Arabidopsis thaliana: one gene and its partner. The protein of the gene in region 2 interacts with the protein of the main gene of each other region in a biochemical or structural test. Each region holds a gene or a part of one and is shown on either strand. Other genes may lie near its edges.

The links.
Region 1: the proteins of FY (region 2) and FCA form a complex in vitro, tested with the Arabidopsis thaliana proteins (3 studies listed by BioGRID).

Annotation. Positions count from the first base shown.
Region 1 is NC_003075.7:9,211,722-9,216,634, forward strand, and holds the start of FCA (flowering time control protein FCA), read right to left. Parts: upstream 3,105-4,913; 5' UTR 2,692-3,104; coding exon 2,358-2,691; intron 2,103-2,357; coding exon 2,032-2,102; intron 1,945-2,031; coding exon 1,866-1,944; exon of another isoform or gene 1-1,865. Other genes in the region: SPH1 (S-protein homologue 1), read right to left, coding at 3,959-4,414. UniProt on the Arabidopsis thaliana protein: Plays a major role in the promotion of the transition of the vegetative meristem to reproductive development. Plays a role in the regulation of flowering time in the autonomous flowering pathway by decreasing FLOWERING LOCUS C mRNA levels.
Region 2 is NC_003076.8:4,325,852-4,333,692, forward strand, and holds FY (Transducin/WD40 repeat-like superfamily protein), read right to left. Parts: upstream 6,121-7,841; 5' UTR 5,777-6,120; exon of another isoform or gene 5,707-5,776; coding exon of another isoform or gene 5,671-5,706; coding exon 5,583-5,670; intron 5,503-5,582; coding exon 5,411-5,502; intron 5,202-5,410; coding exon 5,064-5,201; intron 4,986-5,063; coding exon 4,881-4,985; intron 4,735-4,880; coding exon 4,639-4,734; intron 4,535-4,638; coding exon 4,452-4,534; intron 4,339-4,451; coding exon 4,267-4,338; intron 4,196-4,266; coding exon 4,098-4,195; intron 3,780-4,097; coding exon 3,720-3,779; intron 3,611-3,719; coding exon 3,550-3,610; intron 3,461-3,549; coding exon 3,373-3,460; intron 3,258-3,372; coding exon 3,194-3,257; intron 2,944-3,193; coding exon 2,865-2,943; intron 2,643-2,864; coding exon 2,553-2,642; intron 2,428-2,552; coding exon 2,345-2,427; intron 1,868-2,344; coding exon 1,419-1,867; intron 1,267-1,418; coding exon 1,096-1,266; coding exon of another isoform or gene 1,078-1,095; exon of another isoform or gene 928-1,077; intron 847-927; and 4 more.

The DNA of each region.
Region 1 (4,913 bases), on a different chromosome or scaffold from region 2:
CAAATATTAAAAAATTGAACACAGTCAGTATCTGCAGATAACATATCTACAAGAGGGCCTTTCAGACAAAGGGTGGCTGCATTTGTCCAAGCAGGATCCATTTGAAAGAAAATCTAGAAACATGTACAAGTTAATTAGCAACATAAAACATAACTATAGGTCCAAAGTAACGGATTCAGTATGTAAGAATCTCAATAATTGATGAGTAGCGGATAATCAAAACCAAAACATATACACATTTTCGTCACCATACATCAAGCATTTGAAGACTTCAAATAAAGAACTACAGTTATGGGCAAGATAACTCATTGGAAAAAAATCTAATTCAGAAAAGAATACGATTGCTTCATGTAATACATAATTAGGCCCCTGCCTGATGCTGATTGATCAAGGGCAAGAGAGTGAAGTCAACATGCTGTATTAACATCAGAAACTATTCTAAGAAACTAAAACAATCAGGTTCCTTCCATATGTTTGCACCACCTAACATAATAATATTTCACAAGGCTGAAGAAAGAGTTGTATGGAATCTAGTACATTCAACCGCGATCAAAAGTGTTTATGTCACCACAATCAGATGCATTTGTTCTGCCATCCACAAAGGTGTAGCAGTTATAGAAATAATAACTTCTTGGAAAGTCAAGAATTTATAAATAACTATGCACGTACAAACACACCATTCATCGTCTAGTATTTCTTCACACTGACAAAATAGAGACAGAACTAAATGGAGTAGTAGAACAGGAAATTCAATAATAAAATAACAGTTGCACCTTGCAAGCACAAAGGCTTGATTAGCGAAAAGGGAGCATACAAAAAAAATCTATCATCAAACATTTCTTCCACATAAATATCGATCAGCACTGCAAGGGCCACCATACAGACATAAGAGCTACTCAACAAAATATTCATTCATCTATGACGAGAGATGGTATATCACATCACAAGCCATCCAAGGAATAGAGACGTGGGAACATACAAAATACATACATAAGAACTACTAAACAAATCATTCATTCACCTATGACGAGAGATGGTATATCACATCACAAGCCATCCAAGAAATTGAGAGGGACGACCATACAGAAAGCACACATTTCAGGCCATTCAAAGAGAGTGGAAAGAAATATAGCCATCATAGTTCCTCAGGCCATCAACAAAAGAAAAGGAGAAACGCATTCATTCCAGCATCACTCATCCAAAAAGGTAAAAGGAATGCCATCATTAACCAATAGACAGCACACCCATAAATTGATATGAAAGAAAATGAAGACGCCAAACCTCCAACATGATAAAATTAGAAAGACGGCCAAATCTTTGACCAGCAGGAGTGGCAAATCAAGAAACCATCTTTTGAACCTCATGTCCTTATCAAACTACCAACTTAAAAAAATACATTCATCCTGTCAAGACCATACACAACATCTTCAATCCATCTAGAGGAAGAGTAAAGAAAATGAATTTCAATAGGAGAGGAAAATAGCGATGTTCTTATAACCAATTCCCACTATAAAGGCAACAGCAAAATTCAGTTCTCTGTACATTAACTCCAACTCTAAAACACCCTCAATAAATTCTACACTTTTCAAACACATCTAAAGTTCTAGAATACACACAAGTAGCGAAATCTATTTGCCCAACATAAGTACATAAACCCTTTCTTAGCACAGGTAGCCTTCTTCTGTGACAGAATCGAACACAGATAAGACGCTGGCAAGCATAAGCAATAAGCCCGAAAATTGTTGCAAACAATTGGAGGCCAATGATGAGACTGGGGTTGCTTCCCATCAGCCTTTTCAGGGAGACCTGAAATTTTAAAAAGTATAATTCACGACTATTTCCTAATAAAATGGAGATTGACATACCTTGCTGCTGTCCAGTTCTCTTGTCCTTGATCAGAGCAACCTCCAGAACATTTCCATGCTGTTCGAAATAGGGACGGATCTACAATATGAAAACCAACAGAAAAAATTTAGAAAAGGTTCTCAGTAATGAGTATATAGATAACAATGATTTCCAAGATTAACTCACTTCTTCTTCTGTAGCTGTCCTTGGTACAGATCCAACAAAAAGCTTGACTGTACTGCTACGATCAGAGACATCTGCAAATCAAATTAACCAGATAAGGATACACATGAAGATGGCATATAGTTTTGATTATCACATACATGGGAAAATCGAAAGGATCCTCTAGAGTCGATCCCATGAAAAACCTTCAACAATACAGTAACATAACAACCATACTACCTTTCAATACTCTAATCATTGATTCCCACAAAAATAAGAGACACTCAGGAACCTTAACAGACTACAAGAATAAATATACATAGAAGAAAGAAGAGTGAACTCATGCTTACCAGTTCCAGTAAAGCTGCCATGGTCTGAGATAGGATACCCTCTTTTCTGACCGGAAAGAGGCTGCTGGACCGGCGGTGTAGTCGGTCTTACAGAATAATCAGACTCCATTGCTTTACCGATAAATCTCCTCCTGTCTGGACTCTCTGAAGGAGGATACTTCGCGGGATAGTTATACCGAGCTCCAACAATTGACCGTGTCCCTTCTCCTCCCACACCACCGTTAGGACCCATTGGACGAAAACCATCATCGTAGGCAAACCCCATAGGCCGAAAACTTCCACCATGGTGAGGACCCATAGGCTTAAAATCTACTCTATCTGGGGGACCATTCATCTGCCGGAAACCTCCATCTCCGGGACCATCAAAATCCTTAGGAGTGTCATCTTCCCAGCGTCGACCACCATTACCTCCTCCTCCGCCCCCAATTCCAATTCGATAATTGCTAGGGCTGCTTCCACGACGACGACGGTGGCGGCGAAAATCATCATCATCCTCTTCGAAGCGTGAATCTGAGGGACGAGATGGACCTCTGGGATGGGCTCGGTGGTTATGGTAGGAATCCTCGTAGCCGCCACTCTCATGGCGATCCCTTCGGTGTCTGTCCAGCTTGACGTAGTGGGGAATTGCGATTCCAGTCGAAGAAATCAAAGGACTAGGAGCCCTAGAAATTTGGGATCTGTATGAAACCAAAGAGAGAAGAAACGAGTATCGAAGATGATGAATTTGATTGAAGATGAGATCAATTTAGTTGCTCGAAATTTTGATTTTTTTGTCCGAATGTAAAAAAGAAAAAGCGGTCTAGTTACGGTAATAGTGGTTGGACCGGTGATTCAGTTGAAATTTGGACCGGTAGACTTTATTGAGTCTTGGCTGATAACGAAAAATACAGCTACTTGGGCCATCAATATATTTATATACTGCCAAAAGGGGGATACAATTGTTCCAATGAGTTTTCGTTAACAAAAGGAAAAAAATTGACATTTCAGGTAACTCTCACATTCTTAAGTCCAATCCAAAATTCTCATGTCAACTATATGCTTCAGAAACATTTTGATATAGTACATGCATTTCATGGCGTTTATTAAATCATGTGTTGGGTGATCAATAATATAAAGTTCTAAGTAATGCAAAATACTTGCATCACTATATGAATTTAGAGGATATATGACTAGGTCTGAACTACCTTTTACCTAAAATAATCAAATGAATATTTACTGTTCGTCTCCTTCATCATGAGTCACTAGATTCATGAGTCAATAATCAATGGCTTTGTCTTGAGTCAAGTTAATCGTTTAACAGGTTTTTAATGGTTTGAAAGCAAAAAGAAATCTTACCAATATATATAAGTGTAAAATGTAATCTCTATATATCACAAACACAATATTGTTATTTAATCTATGATCTTATTATCTCAGAAAATTAATCTAATAATTAAATGACCTATAAATAAAGAACTAAAACAAAAAATCTATCATTGATGAAAAATACACAAAATAAGAGAGAAAGTTAAAACAAATGTTTTTTATTATTTCAATTTTTTTTTTGCCAAAAACAACAAGATACATGTACTAAAAAATTACCAAAAAGCAAAAATATGGCTTCACCATCCAACTTCCCATTTTCTTGACAATACATCTTCACCGCTCGCTGAATTCCAAAGATAAAGGCCATCAGTTTTTGCAGTCCAAATGCAATTCTTCCAACCGCATCTATGGAACAAGATAACATCATCCCAAAACACGTTTACATTCATATGACCATTATCTTTGTTCATATAGCACCAAAAAAAAGTTGAGTGAAGCATATTTTCTCCGAAGTTCCAAGAAAATCTATTTCTAAACTTCAGATTAATTTCACCTAGATCATCTTCTTTAGATTTACAATGGATGAAAAGAGTTTCACCAGTTGTCAAACCGTTAACAACCGTGACTTGCCACTCAGAAATCTTCGGGACTATAATGTCTCTCGTGGTGGTGCCGCCGACTAAGACATGGTCTTGACATGTTAGGGCCAGAGAAAAGCAAATTGCCAAGAGAAATTGTTTGATGCAATTCATACTTTTTTCAGGCAAGCAAAATCTTTAGGGAGAACTTTTTTGTTACTTCTTTTTATAATGGAAGAGTGAAACGGTAATTGACGTTTAATTAAATTTTGATGTTATTACATTGCATTAATGAAGAGTCATGCTGCAAATCATTTAAGTGATTGCATGTTAATTAGAAATGAAGCTGAAAGGTTAGTACATATAATAATCCAAGTACGTAGATGATTGTGGCATAATATATTAAGATTAAAAAATACTAATTTATATTGTGGTGTAAGCTATTAGTTTTGAATTTATTATGTGAATCAATTTTAAAAGTTATTAGTTTTTAGATTTAGATTATGACCCAAGAATTCGAAGTATATAATCGAAAAATTTAATGTATAAAAATAATAATTCAACATGGTCGATCGGGTATTTATTTCTAGTAAAATAGTATTTCATAAACCTAATTTTAGTTAACTATATAAATTATAACACTAGTAAAGTATTCTGCCTTTTACGTTACTTT
Region 2 (7,841 bases):
GGCCTTCTCATCTTATCACTAAGGAAATTCAGATGGTGATAAGGGCTCGGTTGGATCCTCTCTCTCGCTCCCGCGCTCCTGGGAGATCCGGACTCTCGCTTTTGGGTTCTTGGTTTTCTCTCTTCCTCAATAGAGATCCTCCTCAAGTCTGATGCTTTCTCCTTGTGCAGGTTTTCAAAGGGTCGGGCTTTGGTGTTCTAGCTCCTTCGCCGTCTGCTGTGGTGGCTTGGGTCTTCTGGGCTTCTGCCTTTGATCTAGCCTTTTAAACTTGTATTTGGTTGTTTTTTGTTCTTTCAGGCCTGCGTGCTGTGTTGGCCTTTTGGCTTTGTATTGCAACTTTTTTTGGTTAATTGGAAATTTATGAAAAAAAAAAAAAAAAAAAAAAAAGTTTGTCGGGTTAACGAAAACTAGAGTATTTGACATGTGAAGCCACTAAAACTTCGTAACTTGTTCACATTAAGTATCAAAACTAGAGTATTATGACTGTGGTCACTTAACATAAAATATATGAATTTAATTATTAAAAATACAAAAAAGACATGTGCCATAAATCATAGTATTTCATCAATACTTTCTCCACATGGAAGTTGTTACTATGCTCAAATATTTTACGGGTGCAAAAAATTCTAATACAAATTATTTGCATATTGGAACAGAACAAAAACCTTTTTTTTTTATGTTTTGTTTTATAGAAACGAAATTTGAATCCCATATAATAGTTTTACTTCAATCGTTTTATCCCGCAGACAGTGCGGTTGTAAACTAATGTACTAATACAACGGCTGCCTACTGATGTTGCTGATTGTTGTTTGGTGGAGGGCCAGGAGGTAAAGGTGGCTGCTGCTGCTGCACGAAATAAAATATAGACAACGGATTAGTCAACGGATTATGCTATTTTAGCTCTACATTTTCAACATCTAATCATACCATTGAACCTAGCTAGTGAGTTTAAAACTAGCTGAGAAAGTTGTATTGTGGTTCAATCGTATCAGGTGTTTTGCATTGTTGTGTAGACATTTTGCCTATTTGCACATATATACATGTGAAACCTTTACGGGTATACTAAATAACAAAAGACTAGTGTTTAAATGGGACCTGTTGGAAAGGGTTGTTGTAGCCTGGAATCATCTGTGGACGGTTGAAACCACCACGTCCTTGGGGATACATTTGGGGTCCGCCACTGTTTGGTTGTCCTTGAAATACTCCTGAAGGAGCACCCATAAAATGACTTTGCGACATCTGAGGATTCATGCCACCTTGCATTCCCTACTCCAACAACAAGTGAGGATTAATATCTCTTTCTACACCTCTCTAAGATATCACTAAGAAAATAAAACAAAGAGGAATCCAACACATGGGGTACCGACAAAAGCCAGGCTTAAGTTGTGGTTGAATTACAAGAGATCTGAGGGCCATACCATTGATCCAGGCATCTGATGAGACATAGGCATTGAGGGAGGTGGCATGTGACCGTGAGGAGGCATTTGCATAGGCCGGGGAAGATGATGAGGGTGCAATGGCATATGAGATGATGGTGGTAGCTGATGGTGAGGCATATTGGGCATTGGAAGCATTTGCTGGGGATGACCTTGGTGTTGTTGTTGTTGCTGATACCCTTGCTGCTGGCCACTTCCAAGAAGCGATGGGTGGGGACCAGGTGGCAAAGGAGGAGCCCCCAGTGCCATGGAACCTGGAAGAGGCTGTTTATGATCCCCTTGAGAGGATGCATCAAATGGCATTGCTATTCCTATTCCTGGGATAGTCCCCTCGTTCCGTGTCAACCCAGGCACAAATGCTCCAGGGATTGGCGATGCCTCAGATGGTTGGAAATTATCAGGTTGGCGACCAAAACCTTGTTCATTATAGCCTGATACAAATTACGCTTATCAGTACACACAAATCACATCTTCAATTTGTTAGTAAACACTAAATAAAAAACACTAATTTCTGACAAATGCAACTTGAAAGTACATGCTCAAAATTAAAACAGTAAGTGAGATACTAATGACCGAGTACTTGGGTCTGAGTTTTTAAAGCCTGTAGAAATCTGCACCTATATCAGATCAGCTCAGCTTGACCAGTCAAGTCTGTTCTTTTCTACAAAAAAATTCAGTTAATCACGGTGCCATATGGCTGGCCGAGCCTGAACCTTAAAAAGCCAAGGTCCATTTCGAACCAGCCATTATAGGAGTATATGACTGACCCTGCCAGGGCCTGACCAGTTAAGCCTATCACAACATCCTTACTACTGAGATGGATAAGGACATAGTAATTATGTACTACCCACAACCTATCCATCCCAATGCCTACTAAAAAATCAGATACTAATAGCCCAAAAACAAACCTTGGTTCTGCATAAGAACATCTCGGGGATTATCTGCAGGCCTGTTTCTGCACCAAAACTTGGTTGTGTGATCATTGCTACCACTGCAGATAATAGGGTTAAAAATCATTATCTGAAGCATTTAGTTATTCAAGAGCACAGGGAACCACAACACATCATAGAATAAAACTGTAAGGAACTCATAGCACCAGACTATTGAAATTGCTACCTGCAAAGAAGATATCCAATAGGATGCCATGCAAGATCCCAAACACTGTTATCATGAGCATTTGGGATTTCAATCTGCGGGTTTTCATGCCTGGGAATTAAGAAAAGTTTTCATAATTAGATACACCTCAAACAAAAACCACAAAATATAAGGTAAAGTAAGATGCTACTAGACTACTAGTATGTAGATGCATCATGACTGAATATAAAATGTAGAGAAGAAACATGATTTAAAAAACCCTTATAAGTGATTAAAACAATAGCAGCATGAACGAATAAATAAAACAGCATACTGCTGCACAACAGTACCTACCCCACAATCCAATGACAAATGGAGCCGTCAGAGCTCCCACTGACAAAATATTCTTCATGGCAGGGATGCCACGCCAAAGCTTAAAAAGAGTTAAGACAACTTTTAATTAGAAATAGTTGCAAATTAGAAATATCGAAGAAACAAATTGAAAACTCGCATCCATGGGATAATGTCTCATATGTCGACAAGTAAAGCATGGGTACAATGATAATCTTTCAAAGGCATATACTCTAGAGTCCTAGTCAATGTACAGAAAAGTAATTTGATGCGGCCAGTTTGTCTGATTTCACGTGTTTAAAACATGATCATTATAGAATTTGACAGCTTACATGTTACATCTTTCGTGTGCCCACGAAAGGATTGAAGCTCCTTCATAGTCCTTATATCATACAGCTGCAGATTACATGCATAAGTGTCATACAAATGCTTCCATAATGCAAGGAAAAAATCTCATTTACAAATCAATATCCCCCCCCCCCCCCCCCACCCAAAAGAAAGTGAGACTTACCTTAATTATCTGATCTTTCGAGGCCGTTAAAAGCCAATTGCCATTTTGGTTCCACTTCACGCTAAGTACTATGTTTTTGTGACCATGGCTGCAGAAGTAAGAATAGGCCATCAAATTCGTCAAAGCTTTGAACATGAAACTATAATAAAATTACATATTACATTATGTACTACTTACAGTGAGCAAAGCTCTCTCCCAGATCTAGTATCCCAGAGTTTGACAAGTTGGTCTTTTCCACCTGACAACACAGATTAAAGCGGTTAATGATCAGCCATAGAGAAGCTCTGAAATATACAGCGGTTTCTTTTTATTGCATTATTCAAATAGAAGTCTATAAAATAATGTACCAGAAACTAGTAGGGACTTTGTGGGGTGCCAGTCAACGCTCTTGACATCCCAACCATGGCCTGCCTGAGTTCAAAATATAAAGAACCCTTTGATTACTTCGAAAGTTCTCAAATATTACAAATATGAAGAAAACTGTGAAAACATGCCTCCAAAAGGATAGGAAACTTGTTATAAGCACCAATTTGGAACCTTTAAAACTAACTAACGTTACATGGCATGACACCAAAGCGAATCTCAATGACACCTTTTCCTATGTAGCCTAAGAATCCAATTCTAATAACGTACAGCACATCTCAAGCGGCCTTCTAAATTCAAATTAGAAGAGCAAGCAACAAAGAAATAAAGTATCTGCCGCCAATCTGTTCAAATAACATTACCGGTTAATGAGCTTTCATCTACGCACTTGGTAAAATCCCAGACTTTAACAGTCGTATCATCAGAACACGAACAGAACTTCAAATCTGTTTTACAAAAACTGTTGGATACACATTGTTCAGTTTTGAGAGATTCATTTAATGCAATTCAACATATCAAACTTTTTTTTACCTTAAATCGCGAATTGATTCCTTGTGAGCAGTTTTATTGGCTTTCACATTGTTCATATTGTTCTGCCAATACCTGATACATAAGAAACAATTGATCCTTATTGTCACAGCATTTGAATCATAGAATTCTGAGCTTCTCGTTTACAACATCATAAGTTAGGGACTGAAAGGGAAAAACAAATTTACTTTAATGTGCCTCCATCATCACCAGAAACCATATAATTTTCATTGTGGCTCCATACCATCGACCTAATAGGTTGATCATGTGCCTGATATTGACAACAAATTTAAACAGTCAATACCAGGAGCAGCAACTATAGAAGAATCAAAACAGAAGTTTCAACAGATTAGTTATACAATCTGAGAAACGAACCTGAAGAATCATTTCAAAATTAAAAGATTGCCCATTCCAAAGAGTAAACTCCCCACTTTGGGAGCCCGTGATAAGACGTCTTCCTGAAGGTGTCCACTAAATAAAAGAAACCCAATCAGCAATGATCCCATTAAGTTGGCATAATAGAGTTAAAACAAAGAAAGAAAGATGTTGCTTTCTTGAATAGATAAACATGGCAAACAGAGAATAATACAAAACACACAGCTGGTAGAGGGATATACCAATACACGGTTGATTGAACAACGGTTCTTGTTTAGAGATGCGTGAACAAACTTTGCAGCAAAGCTTGTTGAAGGATTATCCGAATAGGCAACTGTGGGAAGCATCTGAAGCATTGATATAAAAGTTAGATCAGTAAACCATTCAATCTTATTGCAAAACCCAGAAAAGCAAAGAAATCTAACATCAACTGCTGCAGCTGGGGTTGGTTGCAGAGTGGTCCTATCCCTTGAGTCTCGCTGCCATGTTCGAGCCTGAACAAAAACATATATGGAGTAAACACTCTCTACTTTTAGTTCCATATAAAGTATGAGTTCGTTGAACTACATATCCATATCAGTTCCATGACATAAAGACAATCCTATCTAATGGCTTTTGAGATAAAAAGGACCGAAGAATTCAACTGGGGAAAGCAGAGGCTATGAGTATATAGACCAAGACTAAAACTTTACAGAAAACAAGAGAAATATAATCAAGCAGTACAAAAGGTTCTAACAAAGAAATACTGTGAGCAGCAATGGGAATACATTACCTGAATATATCTAACAACGGTGCTGGTGTAATCAACAGCTCTTCTCTGTGTATGCTTTCTCATTCGTTTCGCCCCAAAACTGTCTACATTGGCTGCAACATCAGACAGAGAGACATTAAATCTCACAGTCATCACTAATCCGATAAAAGGAAGACGCTCAAAGTCTACTTACGGTCGAAGGGGCCAGATGGGTGGTGGTAGTCGGGATTGATGTTAGTGGAAGAAGCTGACGACTGCCGCATCATCGGTGGTTGTGGCATCTGTGAACCCCTGTGCATATCGCCGCCGGCGTACATTGTTGCCCACGGAGAACAGTGATTTATTCGAATCGAAGGGAAACTGCGAAAGTGTTCGAATTTAGGTTACCTTGAAACGAGCGTGGATCTCTCTTTAGGGTGTGCGTGTATCAAATTCGCGAATTGATGACAACCCAAGAGCAGAGAAGTACAATGGGTAGAGAAATGATGAGAAGTCGATAATGGAGTGAAGAGTAGAAATAAATCTTAGGGTTTTTTTTTCTTCCTTCTCGGCAAGCCAAACCCTCGATCGCCGGTCGGTTTTAACCGATAAGATTAATAAAATCATCAAACTAATCAAGAAGTCGATTGGTTTAGCTTTTTTAATCTCCACGATTTTTTTATTTTTTTTTTTATTTTTTTTTTTTTGGGTGTATGTTGTTACTTGGCCTACCCTATCAATTAGACACATATGTTCAGGCTGAACTATGTATTGCGAGTAGGAAATAACGGATGAGTTTGTTTAGTAAACCCATCCGTCGGCCTTCCGGTTGATCAACAAGCTCGAGGAGTGTATCTTAAGCAACTAACCGCGAGATGGCATGAAAAAGATCTGAAGAACTGTTGAGATCAACGAGATTCTAGGGTGGATACTGCGGATCGGGCAGGACACGTGAAGGACGACTATAAAAGAAAGAGGAAGAAGAATGAATAGAGGCATCGCCATTAACATTAAGAAAATCCTAGTATTGTATTCACATCGAACTCTAATGTCCCAAAGTGTGGTTTTTTCTAGTATTGTTGTTGTTTTACTGCTTATTTCACAATCATGACAGAGTGTGTGTATGAATTGTAGATGAAAACACACACATAATTCACGTATTCATAGTGGAACATATTGAATAAATATTCAACCCAAAGATAGTGGTGATGCAAATTAGTCTTTTTTTTTAAAACATTAAAATAACTAAATATTTGAAAGAGTTAAAAGTAAAAGAAAAAAAAACTGACACTAGTAAAACGAATTACAAAAATTCAGAAAATGTTACAATCTTTTTTTTTTTGGTTTAATGTTAAATTAAATGTTATAATCTTGTCATATTAGAACTTAAAATCTCCCAAATAACAAAAAAAAAAAAAAATCGATATACGTTATTCCAAACAAGATTCACTACATCCCAATGGCAATGCTATATGAAACACAATCCCAATCCGCTATTATATTCCACTACGAAACTTAATCATGTTAAAACCCTGTTTTGCACTTATAGAGTATAAATAGACTATGTTAACAGGTTTCAACATTTTTTTTTTTTTGGTTTAATGTTAAGATTTATACCAAATGAAAAAAGGTTTACATAGTACAATGAAACCCCAAAAACACACCGAGCTCTTGTGAAGAGAGACTAATGGAACACCATACATACATAAATATGAGCTTTGCCACACCTATAGTGGGGTACTAATACAACCAAAGTAGAATCCAAGGAGAGAGATAGTGGTAACTGATTCCTCCGGCGAGAAGGAGATGAGACGGTTACGCATTGTGCGATCAACGAGAATTTTTGTAGCGGAGAGAGAGGTAGCATCTGCTGAGAAATCTCTGCGGTTGCGCTCTTTCCAAATCATATAAACAGCGGTTTGAAGAAGAAGTTTTAAGATCTTACTTGCATAGTGCGGCGGAGAAGAATGTACACCAAGAACCCACATAGAAGCCAAGGGTAAAGAGAGTGGAGGATTCGGCGAAATCCTTCCAGCGAGCGAAATCCAAAGTGATCTAGAAAACTCACATTTGAAGAACAAGTGATCATGGGAATCAAGGCCAGAATCACACAGAACACAAGAACCATGTACATTCATACCCCACTGTAAAAGCCTATCTCTCGTTGTCAACCTTTCATGGGAAGCCATCCAAAGGATAAATGAAAACCTTGGGACAGATTCCTTAAACCAGACAGCTTTATGCCAAGCCACATGAGGAGAAATTTGTCTAATTTGCATCCAAGTTCCTTTCGAAGAGAATGTTTCAGAAAAAGTACCTGTGGGCTGCTTCCATTGGTACCAATCAGCACCTCTTAAAGGAGAAGGCGGGGCAACCGAGGACAAGCAAATCTGCAACTGCTCAGCTTGGTGAGATCTCGCATTGGGAAAATGCCATTGACCTTCATGTGTAGCTTCCCAAACGCTAGCATTTC